4 linked regions of the Ovis aries genome follow. Each later gene encodes a partner of the first gene's protein in a complex. Links are inferred from orthologs where the notes say so. Each region holds a gene or a part of one and is shown in the gene's direction. Other genes may lie near its edges.

The links.
Region 2: the proteins of TUBGCP6 (region 1) and TUBGCP5 are in contact, whole or in part, in a cryo-EM structure (PDB 7QJE), measured with the Homo sapiens proteins. The link is inferred for Ovis aries from reciprocal best matches to the Homo sapiens genes TUBGCP6 and TUBGCP5. Residues at the interface, in NP_065194.3 of Homo sapiens: Glu290, Ala291, Ser292, Lys293, Arg294, Arg295, Cys296, Trp297, Glu298, Arg299, Val300, Gly301, Cys302, Pro303, Pro304, His306, Arg307, Glu308, Glu309, Pro310, Tyr311, Leu312, Glu314, Lys322, Arg325, Leu326; in NP_443135.3 of Homo sapiens: Asp211, Asp212, Arg213, Trp215, Leu216, His219, Val220, Val221, His222, Trp225, Ser230, Phe232, Pro233, His234, Leu238, His239, Ser240, Asn241, Leu242, Leu264, Val265, Thr266, Glu267, Thr268, Gln269, Arg272, Val302, Thr303, His304, Leu305.
Region 3: the proteins of TUBGCP6 (region 1) and TUBGCP4 are in contact, whole or in part, in a cryo-EM structure (PDB 7QJE), measured with the Homo sapiens proteins. The link is inferred for Ovis aries from reciprocal best matches to the Homo sapiens genes TUBGCP6 and TUBGCP4. Residues at the interface, in NP_065194.3 of Homo sapiens: Leu312, Thr313, Ala315, Gly316, Arg317, Ala319, Phe320, Phe323, Leu326, His327, Glu349, Pro390, Glu391, Ser392, Ser395, Leu396, Glu399, Tyr403, Ser455, Leu456, Leu457, Thr458, Gly460, Phe461, Lys464, Lys465, Arg468, Arg471, Tyr472, Glu475; in NP_001273343.1 of Homo sapiens: Met1, Ile2, His3, Glu4, Leu6, Leu7, Ser10, Gly11, Tyr12, Pro13, Gly14, Ser15, Ile16, Gln29, Phe31, Pro32, Phe33, Leu34, His35, Pro36, Glu38, Thr56, Ile59, Glu60, Thr63, Val66, Gln67, Gln68, Ile84, Arg87.
Region 4: TUBGCP6 (region 1) and tubulin gamma-2 chain share a complex: the UniProt entries of both Homo sapiens proteins name them as parts of the gamma-tubulin ring complex. The link is inferred for Ovis aries from reciprocal best matches to the Homo sapiens genes TUBGCP6 and TUBG2.

The regions. Positions count from the first base shown.
Region 1 is NC_056056.1:225,510,461-225,513,846, reverse strand, and holds the end of TUBGCP6 (gamma-tubulin complex component 6), read left to right. Parts: coding exon 1-465; intron 466-594; coding exon 595-641; intron 642-785; coding exon 786-921; intron 922-1,005; coding exon 1,006-1,174; intron 1,175-1,280; coding exon 1,281-1,422; intron 1,423-1,502; coding exon 1,503-1,697; intron 1,698-1,772; coding exon 1,773-1,905; intron 1,906-1,981; coding exon 1,982-2,195; intron 2,196-2,264; coding exon 2,265-2,438; coding exon of another isoform or gene 2,439-2,464; intron 2,465-2,552; coding exon 2,553-2,886; downstream 2,887-3,386. UniProt on the Homo sapiens protein: Component of the gamma-tubulin ring complex (gTuRC) which mediates microtubule nucleation.
Region 2 is NC_056055.1:114,155,483-114,159,615, reverse strand, and holds the start of TUBGCP5 (gamma-tubulin complex component 5), read left to right. Parts: upstream 1-1,333; 5' UTR 1,334-1,360; coding exon 1,361-1,506; intron 1,507-3,663; coding exon 3,664-3,717; intron 3,718-3,845; coding exon 3,846-3,954; intron 3,955-4,133. UniProt on the Homo sapiens protein: Component of the gamma-tubulin ring complex (gTuRC) which mediates microtubule nucleation.
Region 3 is NC_056071.1:52,949,387-52,953,334, forward strand, and holds the start of TUBGCP4 (gamma-tubulin complex component 4), read left to right. Parts: upstream 1-1,148; 5' UTR 1,149-1,413; coding exon 1,414-1,491; intron 1,492-3,948. Other genes in the region: ZSCAN29 (zinc finger and SCAN domain-containing protein 29), read right to left, coding at 1-4. UniProt on the Homo sapiens protein: Component of the gamma-tubulin ring complex (gTuRC) which mediates microtubule nucleation.
Region 4 is NC_056064.1:42,455,142-42,459,441, forward strand, and holds the start of tubulin gamma-2 chain, read left to right. Parts: upstream 1-1,500; 5' UTR 1,501-1,741; coding exon 1,742-1,790; intron 1,791-2,100; coding exon 2,101-2,213; intron 2,214-2,412; coding exon 2,413-2,580; intron 2,581-2,881; coding exon 2,882-2,950; intron 2,951-3,461; coding exon 3,462-3,541; intron 3,542-3,607; exon of another isoform or gene 3,608-3,955; coding exon 3,956-4,082; exon of another isoform or gene 4,083-4,300. UniProt on the Homo sapiens protein: Tubulin is the major constituent of microtubules, protein filaments consisting of alpha- and beta-tubulin heterodimers. Gamma-tubulin is a key component of the gamma-tubulin ring complex (gTuRC) which mediates microtubule nucleation.

The DNA.
Region 1 (3,386 bases):
GCCCGGCCACAGCACAGGTCCTCGGGGCAGAGCCTGGTGTTCCCAGAGGGGTCTGTGCTTCTGGAATGACCCCCTCCCGGCCACGGTGGAAAGTCCATGGACACGTGTCTGACGCCAGCATCAGGGTCGGGGAGAATGTGTGGGACGTGGCCCCCTCCCGGCCACGGTGGAATGTCCATGGACACGTGTCTCAGTCCAGTGTGATGCTGGGGGTGCTCTCAGGGGAAGCTGAGCCCAATTTGTCCAGGCCCCCGTTGGGCCCACCTGACCCTGGGCCCCAGTTGGGCCTCAGCTCGGGAGCCCAGGGACACATGCCACGGCTGCCTGCGGAGACAGCCTCAGGCAGCTCCAGCGCACAGGTGGCCGGACCAGGCCCTGGCCACGGGGAGGAGGGTGGCCCCCAGGCCTCGCTGTCTGCTGAGGCTGTACCTGCTGCTCTGGGAGACAGCACCCCGGAGGAGCCAGGTCAGTGGGACCCAGAGCCGTCCTGCCCCTGGGGGCGTCTGTGAGCCCAGGACGGGGAGGACCAGTGGCGGGGGGCGGGGGCGGGTGTTTGGCCCTGACCCTCTCTCCTGCCCCATTTCTTCTGCTCAGGCCTGGGGATGAGTGAGGACTCCAGGGACCTCTCTCCCGGCTCACAGGTCAGGGGTTGGGGGGTGTGCTGGGCCTTTTGTGGGCAGGCACGGCTCTGTCCTGGGACTGGGCAGGGCGGGTGCGGTCTGCCTCCTGGTCCCTCCTCTCAGATGAGGGAAGGAGGCGGGTCCCTCGAGGCTGGGTTATCTTAGGAGGATGCAGACGTCCAGAGCAGCCCAGACCCTGGCGAGGCGGCAGCCCAGCTCTGGGACCGGGAACAGGCCTACCTGGCAGGCCTGGCGGGGCACTACCGCCTGGAGCAGTACCCGGACAGCTACGAGGCCATGTGTGAGTGGGCCGGCCACAGCGGGCAGGCGGGAGGCAGCCTGGCCCCGTGTCCCTGGGGCCTAACTGCAGTCTATCACCCCGCAGCGGAGCCTCCGGTGGCCCGCCTCCTGCACCACGGGCTTCCCCGAGCCTTCGCCCTCCCCGAGGACGCCCGGGTCCCGTCAGACGCAGACGAGAGCGCCGTGCAGCTGAGCGAGCTGCTGCCGCTGCCCGTGCTCATGAAGCACTCTGTTACCGCCCCGCTGGCTGCCCAGTGAGCACCGCCTGACCCTCTGCTCCCTCCCCGGCCCGGCCCCGCTCCCCCTGCCCCGCCCGGCTCCGCCCCGCGACGGTCAGTAACTCCAGGCCCCTCCCGCCAGCGTCTCCCTGGTGAACAAGGCCGTGGTCGACTACTTCTTCGTGGAGCTGAACCTCGGGGCGCACTTCGAGGCGCTAAGGCACTTCCTGCTGATGGAGGACGGAGAGTTCGCCCAGTCCCTCAGCGACCTGCTCTTCGAGAAGGTGAGCTCGGGCGGGCCAGGCGCCAGAGGGGCGGCGGGCAGGCTCTGGACGCTTTGGGACGCTGTGTCCTGTCCCTGCAGCTAGGGGCGGGCCAGACGCCCGGGGAGCTTCTCAGCCCCCTGGTGCTCAACTCGGTGCTGAGCAAGGCCCTGCAATACAGCCTGCACGGCGACAGCCCGCACGCTGCCAACCTCTCCTTCGCCCTCAAGTTCCTGCCCGAGACGTTCGCCCCCAACGCCCCGGACGTGCTGAGCTGCCTGGAGCTCAGGTACAAGGTCAGCAGCGCCCCCTGGCGCGGGCGGTGGGGGTGGTCCCGGGATGCAGCTGTACTGAGCCGGCCTCCCTGCCAGGTCGACTGGCCTCTCAACATCGTGGTCACCGAGGGCTGCCTGAGCAGGTACGGCGGCATCTTCTCCTTCCTGCTGCAGCTGAAGCTCATGATGTGGACGCTCAAGGACGTCTGCTTCCACCTCAAGCGCACAGGTGAGCCTGGGGGGCCCGAGGGGCCCAAGCCGCCCGCGGCGGCACTCACCCCTGCCCTCCCCGCTCCCCTCCTCAGCGCGGGTGAGCCAGGCGGCCGGCTCGGCGCAGTTCCGCCAGCTGCAGCTTTTCAAGCACGAGATGCAGCACTTCGTCAAGGTCACCCAGGGCTACATCGCCAACCAGATCCTGCACGTCAGCTGGTGCGAGTTCCAGGCCAGGCTGGCCTCGGTGGGCGACCTGGAGGAGATACAGCGCGCCCACGCCGAGTACCTGCACAAGGCGGTCTTCAGGTGAGCTGCGGCCTGCCCCCGCGCGGCCCTGGCTCGGGCGCACCCACTGCAGCCCCCGCCTCCCCCCAGGGGCCTGCTGACGGAGAAGGCGGCGCCGGTCATGAACGTCATCCACAGCGTCTTCAGCCTGGTCCTCAAGTTCCGCAGCCAGCTCATCTCCCAGCCCTGGGGCCCGGCCGGCGGCCCGCGCGGCCCCGAGCACCCCAACTTTGCCCTCATGCAGCAGTCCTACAGCGCCTTCAAGTACTACTCCCGCTTCCTCTTCAAAGGTGACGCCCCCCGGGGCGGGGGGAGGGCTGGGGCCGGGGCTACGCCGGCTCACTGAACCCGCCCCTTCCCCCGCCCCGCCCCTCGCAGTGGTGAGCAAGCTGGTGAACCGCGGCTACCAGCCCCACCTGGAGGACTTCCTGCTGCGAATCAACTTCAACAACTACTACCAGGACGCCTGAGCCCCGGCTCGGCCGCAATAAACGTGTACCCGCCCTCCAGCCTCTGTCTCCGGGGCGGGCGGGGGCGGGGCAACCACGCGGGGCCACTGAGGAGGCTGCCGGTTTATTGGGGGGCCGCGCCCCCCTCCACCCCCGCCAGGTGGGTGGGGGCCGCGTGGTGCGGGCGTGGGGCATGTCATGGGGAGCAGAGCCTGGGGCAGGGGTGGCGAGTCGGCGTCGGGTGGAGACGGGTCAGGTCCTGACTGGACGTCTCCGCCGTCACGGAGAGACGGGAGCGGGAGCCGCCTCGTGGACTCAAGGGCTCGGCCCCGGGGCCTCCTGCGCGGAGTCCCCAGGGCGGTTACGAGGATCACGTCACGCACAGCTCTGCCGCCCAGAGCGGGGGCTTGCTGCTGTAGGAGCGCCGCCGGCCGGCCGCCCCGCTGGTCTCTGCGGCCACCTCGCTGGCCTCCGCGGCCCCCTCGGGCTCGGCAGCCTCTGCCTCCCCGCCGTAAGGGGTCTCCAGCAGCTTCAGCACCCGCCGCACCTGCAGGGGGGTGGAGAGCGAGGGGGGCTGTTGGGGACCGGCCTCCTCCACAACGAGAAGCGCGCGGTCGGGGAGGTTGGCGGAGGGGGGGTGGGTGGGCTGGTGGTGGGGGAGGGGGGCAGGCGGCCCTTGCCTCCGAGAAGTCACCGTTCTCCGCAGCTTCAATGGCGCCCTGTGCAATGTAGTTCCTCAGCACGTACTTGGGGTTGTTGGCGC
Region 2 (4,133 bases), on another chromosome or scaffold:
GTGTGTGAGAGTAGCTCAGTCCCTACTGGGTCTAAGTCATTGGGAGCACCCTATGGAATGTTTTCTAGGTCTCCCTCCAGAGGTCAAGACCAACTGGCTCGATAGGGAGTCAGGAGAGACACATGCTAAGTGTGTATGTTCATTTCTGGAAGTGTACAATAAGCAATTTTAGATTTGGAGTGCTAAGAAAAATGTGGGTTGCATATGCAAATCTGAGAGTTATAAACACACAGATGATAGTTGAGACTGGAGTAGAAAAGATTGCCCCAGGGAGAAGGTATAAATTTCTTCACGGAATCATTTCTACTCCTATGATTTCCCCCTTCTTATGGGATTTATTCAGTTGTGTGCAGTCTATGTTTTAGGTAGTTGCTATAGTCTGGGTGTTTGTGCACCCTCAAAATTAATAATTTGACATCTTAATGCCCAACATTCTGGTATTTGAGAGGTGTTTAGAAAAGGATGGTGGAGGTCTTGAGAATGGAATGAGTGCCCTAGTAAGAGACCCCAGCGAGTTCCCTTGCCCGTTTCATCATGTGAAAACACAACCAGAATTCTGATTCCAGGAAGAGGGCCCTCACTCAATCATGCTGGCACGTGGATCTCAAATTGCTGCCTGCAGAACTATGAGAAATAAACTTCTGTTGTTTTCAAGCCATCCAGTCTATGGTATTTTGTTATGACAGCCCAAACAGCTGGAGCGATGCAATGTAACAAACCACATGAAAACCTAGTAGATCCCTAAAAGAAAAAAAAGTTAAACGTTTTATGCAACAAGTCTTGTAATGGTTATGAGCAATCCTTTACATAAACAGTTTAAAAGTACAGTTTTAATTACAAACAACAACAAAAGCACTACTCCACTTTCGGCCAGTGTTGTTTAATAAGTCCTCCTTGGCCCACTGGGAGTCGCAGGAGGCAAGGCGCTCAGTCTGTGTGCGAGACAACGCGCTTTCTTTACATCTGCTGTAGTGTGTGCCACGTAGTGCGGCCCATGTAGGCAGAGCGGAATCCAAAGACCACTGGATATCACCTCTAGGAGAAACTGAATGATGGATAACTGACGAAGGGTGGTAGCTAAAAACTGTGCAAACCGATACACTGAATGAGAAGTGGCTGTTCTTGAAACACAGGCGTTAGACCATCAACCAAAGTCAGTCAAAGACTATTATTAATAAATTTAATAATAACTGCTTCTCCTTTGACGACACTCACAACCCTGCCACCGACCAGAACCAGACCCAAGGCTCAACGTGACTGCAGCGCGAACTCTCGCGAGGGAGACGCGCAACGCGGCCGCAGCTCGAACTCGCGCGAGAGCTGGCGCAACCTCGCGAAGGACGGCGGGAGCGCGGGAGGTATGGCGTCCCTGCCGCCGTCCTGGAGTCGGCTGGATAGACGACAAGAGCGCGACGTGCGCGAGCTCGTTCGCCTTGTGGCGGGCGTCCAGGACGAAGCGGACCCCAACTTCCAGCTCGCTTTGCACTTCGCCTGGTCCAACTTCAGGTGTGGACGCGGCATCGCAGCCGGGGAAGGGAAGGGGTCTGGCGAGTTGTGTTGCACGACCGGCAGAGTCCCGGCGCGCTTTGCCGCTCCAGCAGCTTAGTGCCTTCGTGCATTCTGGATGCCCGAGGCGGTGATCAGTTCAGTCGCTCAGTCGGGTTCGACTCTTTGCTATTCCGTGGACTGGGACACGCCAGGCCTAGCTCAGTCAATGGGTTGTGGGTTGCTGGGGGTCGTCCTCCGATCTTTCTCCTAGTGAAGAGTTCTGGCAATCCGGTTCCCTGCTCCGCCCACTGCGCTTAGCGCGGGCCCCTGCCCATCAATTTTTTGAGTGGTTGGTTGAGTAAAATTTTAGAGCAAAGTAATGGTCACACCCTATTCTCACTGACTCCCTCTCTGCTCGGACCACTCCGTATTTCTTACCCTGCTCTTTTTTTCCAAAACGCGAAGCATAACACATTGGATAACTCATTTGTTGTTATTGTTTGTCTCCACCCCCACCGTCATGCAGTATATAAGCTCCACCAAAGTAGGGATCTTCGTTTGTTCTGTTTATTTCTTATCCCAGCGCCTAAAACAGTTCTTGGCATAGAGTATGCGAGGTCCAGTGCAACTTTTAATACGGTTTTTTATTTAATTAATTTTAAAAGATTTATTCAGATTAGGTACTTAGGTGAAATCAGTGGTATAATTTTCCCTTATGGGACATGTAAATCAGTTATGATCATTACCTGTAATAAAATTTTTATTAGAAGAATGGTAGTCATTGTTAATCTTCTGCCTAATGTCGAAAGAAGTCTTCTTGAATGGTAAACAGTTTTTTGAAATCGGTAATCTTTTTATCAACCTTAATGATCACACATAAAGTGCCCACTTGGTTTATAATAAGAATAGAGTCTAAACGGCCCCGTTTTTGAAATAAAATACTCAATTCTTAAGTGTAACATAAGTATAACAATTCCTTAATAGGTGATATTCAGAGAATAGGTCATATTAAGAGAAACTTAAATGTTCTATCCCAAATAATTTTTCTGTTAGTATGTCTAAATGACAGTAGGTAAGCAGACATCATTTTAGAGTTAGGAGAGCTTAGCAGTTACTAACGCCTTTTACACATTGAGAAACTAAATTTATAGGTAAAATGGTATTCCATTCAGCCATTTGCTAGGTTAGAATTAGATATTTTAATTAGTAGTGTAATTTACTTCTTTTAGGTACAGGTTGTGTGGTTTCCACTAAAAGATGGAAAACAAGAGTTGAGTGAGCTATATTGTAATTTTGTGATGCTTTAATCCATCAGAAAAATGAACAATTCATATTTATATTTTTAAAAATTGAGGCCACATTCTAGGCCTTAGAAATTCACAGACAGGTGCAATACAGCGACTATTCTTAAATAAGACAGATAAAAATTATTACATATGATGTAGAACAGAACTTCTTAACCTGAGGGTCTGAATATATTAATAGTAGAATTCAGATATAACAGATTTGGACAAGAAGAAAATTATACTAATCTCTAGCTGAAAAGTAGCATTTCCTTCAATTATGAGTGAAAGCAACAAGAAGTAATAGCTTATGTACTGTGTCACCAGTAGAAATCACATATTTCACTGTCATATTGTAATTACTGCAGATATTTCTAATAAATCTTATTTACTGTTGCATGTAGTTATGAACCCACTTCTAGATCTTGTTATTTAATGTTTTAACAAAAACATCACAGACTATATCACAGACTTCAAAAAATATTTCAAAAGTGTATTTCAGTATGCTTGGCTTCCTTTCTGTTTCATTTTATCCTGAGACGGGATCCCTAGGATTCATAGGCCTTCACAATGGCATAAAAAGTTTAGGAAACCCTGCTAACAGGGATGTGCTGTGCTGGACTTACACACAGGGCATTATGGAAAGAGAGAGGAGCCAGAGGACAGAGTTGGGAAACTCAAGACAATCTGTGTCATAAGGAAAGGATGCTTGAGCAGTCTTAGGTTGACTGGTTGTTTGCATGAATGACAGAGGTGATACAGGGAGAGAGGTGCACTCACTGGAAACACATAACTGAGTATAGTGTGTTTGGGGGGCAATGTGTTGGACCGTGAGACTAGTCAACTTAGCTTTATGACACGATTGATATAAGAATCACATTTTCTCTTTTAGATTTCATCGTTTCTTAGATGTCAATAGCCACAAAGTACAAAAGACAATAGAAGGGTAAGTCAGTTTATATGTATATATATATACATATGTATATATGTGCATGTTCAGATATCTATGTATCTTACAGACCTTTTTATTAATACAGCTTTTTAGTTGTTAGTTGATTTTTTTTAACATTCTAGGATTTATGAAAAATTCATTATTCATTCCGATCTAAGCAAAGCTGCCAGTTGGAAGAGATTAACTGAAGAATTTCTAAATGCATCGCTTCCAAGCATAAAGGAATTCAAGGTATGCTATATTGTGAAATCTCTGCTGTTTCTAATCTGATTATTGTCAGCCTGATTCTATTAACATTTAGACATTCATTCTATTTTACTATTGTCCACCGACTAGAATCACCATCTGCTGGAAATTGACATAAAATCCACTGTGTCTCAGGCTTGTGATAAAAGAAGTATATTCATGTT
Region 3 (3,948 bases), on another chromosome or scaffold:
CCATGGTTCACAGCAGGAAGCAGCTTCCCTTCACTTAAAGGTCTAGGTTCCAGGGCTTAGGCCCATCTTCCCATGTCCTTGGGGAATCACCTGCAGATGAGTCTGTCTCTGTAAGCAGTTTCCTCCTAGGGCAGAGAGAGATGGCACTATCAGAAGGAATGTATGTCTAGGGTCTTGCCAGAGCTGGCCTGACTGCCCATATGCTCCAAGTGGTCATCTGAGGTAGCACCAGCTTCAGGTCAGGAAGTCAAAACAGCCTGAAGGTGAGAGGCCATTCAAAGGCTGCATCTCTGGCCGACATCCAGGGCAGCCCGGAGAAGCAGCAAAGGATAAAAGTACTGTCTACTCTTCCGCCGCCCCCAAATCTGACCCATTGAGCTCCCCTAACCAGTGAGTTCGAACCATTTGGGAGACCTGGAGCTCGGAAGGTTCTAAAGGCAGGTCACCATTCTGCTGAAGGTAACAAAGCCTCTGTCCAGCGGGTAGCAAGCTGCTCTCCACTGTCCTTCCCCAGGCCCTCACAGCCCGCCCCGCTCCCTGAGACTCCACCACTACCAATTCCCACCCCAAACAAAAATCAAGTACTAAATACTGGGTCTCTGTTTTCCCTCACAGCAGAAGTAAGCGCTCAGTAAACATCCGGGAACTACTGACGGGAAACCTCGCGCATTGAGAGAAGTTGATTTTGGCTCCTGAAGCGAGGTCCGAGTGGGTTTGGGGAGAGTCACACTGAGTTGGTGGAGAGAGGAATTCCGAAGGGGCAGTAGTCATGGGTCTCCTGAGGACGAGTTCGGGTGGTGGGCAGGCGCTCCGAGGGCTGCGAGGTTCGCGAGCGCGGAGCTCAGGTCTAGGAGCGGCGGGTGCGGGGTTCCGGCCTCTTTGTTTTCGTTCCCTCCGGCCAGGTCACTCGGAGCCGTCATGAATCCCTCCGGAGGCCTCCGACCGGACTAAGGCGCCCTGAGAGCACCCTGTGGCCCACACCTGAGAGCTTCTCCCACTCAGGCTATCGCTCAACCCGCTCGCATCTCTGCCCACCGGCCAGCCTCACCCAGTCAGGGTCTGGCTCCAGCCCGGGCTCGCCAGCCTCCCAGTCCAGCTTCCAAACCGGAAGTCCGAGTGGGTGCCTCGGGAGCCAAAGGCGCATGCGCAAGGGCAGCTCCCGCGACTCTTGCGGGGCACCGGCTGCCGCCGGCGAGGGGGCCCAGCCGAGCGCGGCGCACTTCCGGGACGCGGCGCGCCGGCTGCTTTCCGTCCGGTCTCCCCTGCAGTTGTCTCGGCGGGTAAAGTCAGGAGGAACAGTGCGTCCCGGAGACCTGTGCGCGCATAGAGAAGGGAGCGCTCGCCTCCTTGGTCGCCAGCTGAGGCCCTGGAGGAGGGCGCGACGGATATAGGGACTCGAGGTCCGCCGTGGGAATGATCCACGAACTGCTCTTGGCTCTGAGCGGGTACCCAGGGTCCATTTTCACCTGGAACAAGCGGAGTGGCCTCCAGGTACTATCCGGCTCGGAGCGCGGGAACTGGCGAGCTCGGAATGGGTGGACCCGAGCCAGCGCTTGGGAGGAGGAGTCTGAGGGAGCAAGAAGGCGGGGCTGGCAAGGACCAAGGCGTGGGGGGCGTATCCCTGGACGGGTAACCTGAGGGCTGTGCCCTAGGGGCTTACGGATGGTTTAGACACCTGGAGAGGGTTGGGCCTAGGCGGAAAGCGAAGGGTGGATCCCTATTGGTTCTGCCTTAGGGGAGGAGGGAATCCCGGACCAGGCCTAAGGTTGAAAGTGTCTGGGCGAGAGTTGCTAGAGAACTAGATGTAAAACTGAGAGAGGCCCTTTCTCCCATCTTCATGCTTGCACAACGTTTTAAACTGAGTTTTGAAAGCTAGACCAAATACACAGTGCCTAATATACAAACAGTTCAGTTCAGTCGCTCAGTCATGTCCGACTCTTTGCGACCCCATGAATCGCAGCACGCCAGGCCTCCCTGTTCATCACCATCTCCCGGAATTCACTCAGACTCACGTCCATCGAGTCCGTGATACCATCCAGCCATCACATCCTCGGTCGTCCCCTTCTCCTCCTGCCCCCAATCCCTCCCAGCATCAGAGTCTTTTCCAATGAGTCAACTCTTCGCATGAGGTGGCCAAAGTACTGGAGTTTCAGCTTTAGCATCATTCCTTCCAAAGAAATCCCAGGGTTGATCTCCTTCAGAATGGACTGGTTGGATCTCCTTGCAGTCCAAGGGACTCTCAAGAGTCTTCTCCAACACCACAGTTCAAAAGCATCAATTCTTCGGCGCTCAGCCTTCTTCACAGTCCAACTCTCACATCCATACATGACCACAGGAAAAACCATAGCCTTGACTAGACGGACCTTAGTCAGCAAAGTAATGTCTCTGCTTTTGAATATACTATCTAGGTTGCTCATAACTTTTCTTCCAAGGAGTAAGTATCTTTTAATTTCATGGCTGCAGTCACCATCCGCAGTGATTTTGGAGCCCCAAAAAAATAAAGTCTGACACTGTTTCCACTGTTTCCCCATCTATTTCCCATGAAGTGATGGGACCAGATGCCATGATCTTCGTTTTCTGAATGTTGAGCTTTAAGCCAACTTTTTCACTCTCCTCTTTCACTTTCATCAAGAGGCTTTTTAGCTCCTCTTCACTTTCTGCCGTAAGAGTGGTGTCATCTGCATATCGGAAGTTATTGATATTTCTCCTGGCAATCTTGATTCCAGCTTGTGTTTCTTCCAGCCCAGCGTTTCTCATGATGTACTCTGCATATAACTTAAATAAGCAGGGTGACAATATACAGCCTTGACATATTACTTTTCCTATTTGGAACCAGTCTGTTGTTCCATGTCCAGTTCTAACTGTTGCTTCCTGACCTGCATACGGATTTCTCAGGAGGCAGGTCAGGTGGTCTGGTATTCCCATCTCTTTCAGAATTTTCCACAGTTTATTGTGATCCACACAATCAAAGGCTTTGGCATAGTCAATAAAGCAGAAATAGATGTTTTTTTCTGGAACTCTCTTGCTTTTTCCATGATCCAGCGGATGTTGGCAATTTGATCTCTGGTTCCTCTGCCTTTTCTAAAACCAGCTTGAACATCAGGGAGTTCGCGGTGCACGTATTGCTGAAGCCTGGCTTGGAGAATTTTGAGCATTACTTTACTAGCATGTGAGATGAGTGCAATTGTGCGGTAGTTTGAGCATTCTTTGCATTACCTTTCTTTGGAATAGGAATGAAAACTGACCTTTTCCAGTCCTATGGCCACTGCTGAGTTTTCCAAATTTGCTGGCATATTGAGTGCAGCACTTTCACAGCATCATCTTTCAGGATTTGAAACAGCTCAACTGGAATGCCATCACCTCCACTAGCTTTGTTTGCAGTGATGCTTTCTAAGGCCCACTTGACTTCACATTCCAAGATGTCTGGCTCTAGATTAGTGATCACATCATCATGATTATCTGGGTCGTGAAGATCTTTTTGTATAGTTCTTCCGTGTATTCTTGCCACCTCTTCTTAATATCTTCTGCTTCTGTTAGGTCCATATCATTTCTGTCCTTTATCGAGCCCATCTTTGCATGAAATGTTCCCTTGGTATCTCTAATTTTCTTGAAGAGATTTCTAGTCTTTCCCATTCTATTGTTTTCCTCTATTTCTTTGCATTGATCGCTGCAGAAGGCTTTCTTGCCTCTCCTTGCTATTCTTTGGAACTCTGCATTCAGATGCTTATATCTTTCCTTTTCTCCTTTGCTTTTCGCCTCTCTTCTTTTCACAGCTATTTGTAAGGCCTCCCTAGACAGTCATTTTGCTTTTTTGCATTTCTTTTCCATGGGGATGGTCTTGATCCCTGTCTCCTGTACAATGTCACGAACCTCATTCCATAGTTCATCAGGCACTCTATCAGATCTAGGCCCTTAAATCTATTTCTCACTTCCACTGTATAACCTTAA
Region 4 (4,300 bases), on another chromosome or scaffold:
GTGGGGGGCAAAGGAAATGAACAGGCAATTCCCAGGGGTCAGTAACAAGAGAAAATTGAATCAGCTTTGATTGTGATCCTAACTGGAAGTTACAGCTTTGAGTTATCTAGAGCTGACAAAAATGAAGATCTGATAACCCAAGTGTGGAACTGAGTATAGGGAAATGGAAATGCTATTGCTGGTTAAAAGTACAAGTTGGTACAACCATCTAGGAAAAAATATGCCAAACCTGGTAAAGTTGAAGCTGCACAAGCTCTTGGTAAATACTTTTCTTCAGGTTCACAAGTGGATAACTCCTGTAGGCATTTGATGTAACACCAAATAAGTGGAAACAATCAAATCACCCCTGTGTGGAAATAGAATAAACTGTTTTTATCCATCCAATTAAATACTATAAAACAGTTAAAAGGAACAAAATGAATCTACATGTATCAACATAGCTAAATCACTAAAGCTAAAGTAGGGTGAAAATAGCAAGATACAAAAGAATATTACACTCATACCATTTATGTAAAATTTCAAAATAAAAAATATATAGTAAAAAATCAAAATCATGCTTGCATGTTTAAAACTTTTTAAATTTTAAAATAAAATAGAAACCAAAATGAGATATCACCTCACATTCATTTAGATGGCCTATTTGTTTTGTTTTTTTTAAAGTAACAAGTGTTGATAAAGATGTGGAGAAACTGGAACTCATGTGCATTGCTGTGGGAATGTGAAATGGTGCAGCGACTGTGAGAAATAGTATGGCAAGTCCTCAAATAAAGGAAACACAATCCTGCCATGATCTAGCAATTCTGATTCTGGGCATATACCCAGAATTGAAAGTAGGCACTCAAACAAGATATTCTACACCCATGTTCATTAGCAGTATTAAGTAGAAGCACGGCAGTGTCCATTGACAGATGGACTGATAAAACACAAAACGTGGTATATGCATACCATGGAATATTATATAGCCTTAACAAGGAATAAAAGTATGATACATGCTGTAACATGGAGTAACCTTGATAACATTACCTAAGTGAAACAAGCCAGACACAAAAGGACAAATACTGTGTTATCCCACTTGTATGAGGCACTTAGTCAAATTCACTGAGACGGAAAGCAGAATGGTGATAAGGGCGAGGTTACTGTTCAACAGGTAAGAGCTTGGGAAGGTGCCAAAGTTCTGTAGGTGACCGCTGGAGACCGTTACAGAACAATGTACATGTACTTAACCTCACAAAATTGTAATTTAAAATGGTTAAAATGGTAAATTTTGTTGGATACATATAACTTAAAAATAGAAATTTAAAAGACGAAAATTGGCTTGAATTCAGCCCCTCTACCTATCAGAGCAGGCAGAGCCGCTCACCTACCTATAAGGCAGAGCGCCGGTGATTCCAGACACCTGGACGTCCCCTCCCTCACTTCCCTTCCCCCACACTCGGTCCCGGCGCGTCTCACTGCGCAGGCGCAGAGCTGGGGCGGGTGGGCAGGAGGGGGCGTGGCCTCACTCCGCGCCTGTGCGGAATTCCAGCTGCAACTGCTGTGGGGGAAAATGATGCCCAGGTTGGGCTCCCGGGCCGCCGGCCGAGAGGAGGCCCGCACTGCACACGCGCAGACCGAGCATCCGCGTCAAAAGCAGAAGAGAGCGCGCGCTCCCCACGTCCTGCGCGCCCAGCTGCCAAGCATTCGTCCCCGCCGTGACTCCTGCCCGGCCTGGCCAGGCTGGCGCGGCCTCATCTGAAGAGCGATGCCCCGGGAGATCATCACCCTGCAGCTGGGCCAGTGCGGCAACCAGAGTGAGCGAACGAGAGCCGGGCCCAGCTAGTCTCCGGTTCTGCCCCTTCGGGTCCCACCCGAGTGCTTGGCATCCTCCAACACCACCACCCCACCCCCGCCCCGCTTCCGTTCCATAACCCCCCTGCCCTACTGCGCATGATGACACCCAGCACGAGAGACATGCCTCTAACCCTGAGCTGTCACGTCGCCCAGATCCGGGCGTCTTGGGCCCACCCTGGAATGTGTGACAGTGTCTGAGCCTCACCCTGGGCTCCCAAGCCCTCTGCTAGAGGGCTTTAGCAGACCCAGGCGTCTCTCCCCATCCCCCAGTTGGGTTCGAGTTCTGGAAACAGCTGTGCGCCGAGCATGGTATCAGCCCCGAGGGCATCGTGGAGGAGTTCGCCACCGAGGGCACTGATCGCAAGGACGTCTTTTTCTACCAGGTGCCCCCAGCGACTTAGCCAGGGTTGGCAATGGCCCACGAGGCCTGAAGGGAAGGGCTTGGGTACTGGGAAACCCACTGGGCAGAGGAGCCAGGGCGGCTGGTTTGAAGGAGGAGGGCAGGCAGGAGCCAGAGTTGGGAGGACTGGAGGACTGGGCAGGCCCGAGCTGATTGGGCCCCTTCTGGACTCCTCTTGACAGGCCGACGATGAGCACTACATCCCGAGGGCAGTGCTGCTGGACCTGGAGCCCAGGGTGATCCACTCCATCCTCAACTCCCCCTATGCCAAACTCTACAACCCAGAGAACATATACCTGTCAGAGCATGGAGGAGGAGCTGGCAACAACTGGGCCAGCGGATTCTCCCAGGTATCCAGGTGGCCATCCGGGAGATTCTTGATGTTCCCTTCCTGGGGTAAGGCAAGCACAAGCAGTCTGGTGATTAGACCATACTGACAGTGAGAGACAGGGGACTACCCTGATAAGAGGGACAGACATAGAGAAGTTTATGCAAAGTAGCATTTCTGGGGTGAGGGCCACAGTCGGGGCTCTGCTTGAGGTGTCAGCAGTGTCCCAAGGTAGAGTTACTGGTGCCGAAAGGAGATGCTCTCCAGAAACGTCATCCTCACGTCTCTATAGGTGTCTCCTCCCTCCTCATCTCTCTATACAGGGTGAGAAAATCCATGAAGATATCTTTGACATCATAGACCGAGAAGCAGATGGAAGTGACAGCCTAGAGGTGAGGTTCTGCCCCTTTAGGGGAGAGGAGGGAGGAAGCTGAGAAGTGCTGGGGGAAGTCAGGAGGTTGCCTCCCTGGTCGCTCAGATGATAAGGAATCAGCCTGCAATGCAGGAGACCCAGGTTCAAATCCCTGGGTCGTGAAGATCCCCTGGAGAAAGGAATGGTAACCCACTCCATTATTGTTGCCTGGAGAATTCCATGGACAAAGGAGCCTGATGGGCTACTGTCCATGGGGTCACAAAGAGCCTGATCAGATGTGTGATGGGGGCAATTTAATTCATAACTCTTGAGTATCAGATGTGAGATGGTGAAGTAAATAAGGTTCAGTTTGTGTCCTCAAGAAGATCCTAATCTGGATGGCATCAGCTCCTTCCTTCTCAAGGAGCCTCACACTGGATGGATATAGAAGAAACCCTGAGACTTGAGAGGGTTGGGAGTGGGACATGAGACAAGCCAGAAGCCTCTCCCCCAGATCCCTGGAGACTGCTTCTCCATTCCTTCCCCTGCAGGGCTTTGTGCTGTGTCATTCCATCGCTGGGGGGACCGGTTCTGGCCTGGGCTCCTACCTCTTGGAGCGATTGAATGACAGGTAAGCCTGTGTTTGGGAAGAGAGCATTAGCTCTGTTTCCCTGGGTAATGTCTTTTCTTTTGTCACTTTTTCTTTTGGCTGAAAGCCCTATTACTACTGCCCTTGAGTTACAAGTAGGAACAGAGCCTGGCCTCCCAGGGAACATCTTGGAAGCAATAACTCCCAGGAAGCAGAGGGTCTGCATAGCTGGGGGAGAGGACCTAGGAGGGAGGGAGGTTTGATGCTTCAGGTTTATCTTTTTTGGCTTCTGGGCTCTAAAGACTCCATTCTGCCCTCACTCCTTTTGTGTAAGACCTTGGTGGCACTTGGAAAGGAACGGCCCCTGTTATTCCTGGAGAAGACAAAGAGGGGCAGTGATGAGAGTCCTTCCAAGTCACTCTGCTACCTGCCCGTTTCCCTCTTCCTCACCCCCAGGTACCCCAAGAAGCTGGTACAGACATACTCAGTGTTTCCCAACCAGGACGAGATGAGCGATGTGGTGGTCCAGCCCTACAACTCACTGCTCACACTCAAGAGGCTGACCCAGAACGCTGACTGTGTGGTGAGCATGGGAGGAGGAAGTGGGGCCTTTGGCCTACCTCCCCAAACCAGTGAGACACCTACACTCTGCCCTTCCCAAGCCCTTGCCCAGAGAACAGACAACCAACAAAGCCATACTTGGTGGCCCAAAGTATGAAATAAGAACCTGACCCCAAGCTTCTCATAGTCCCTTTAGGTAGCAGGACTCTCAACAAAGTAACACCCCCCTCCCACATGTCT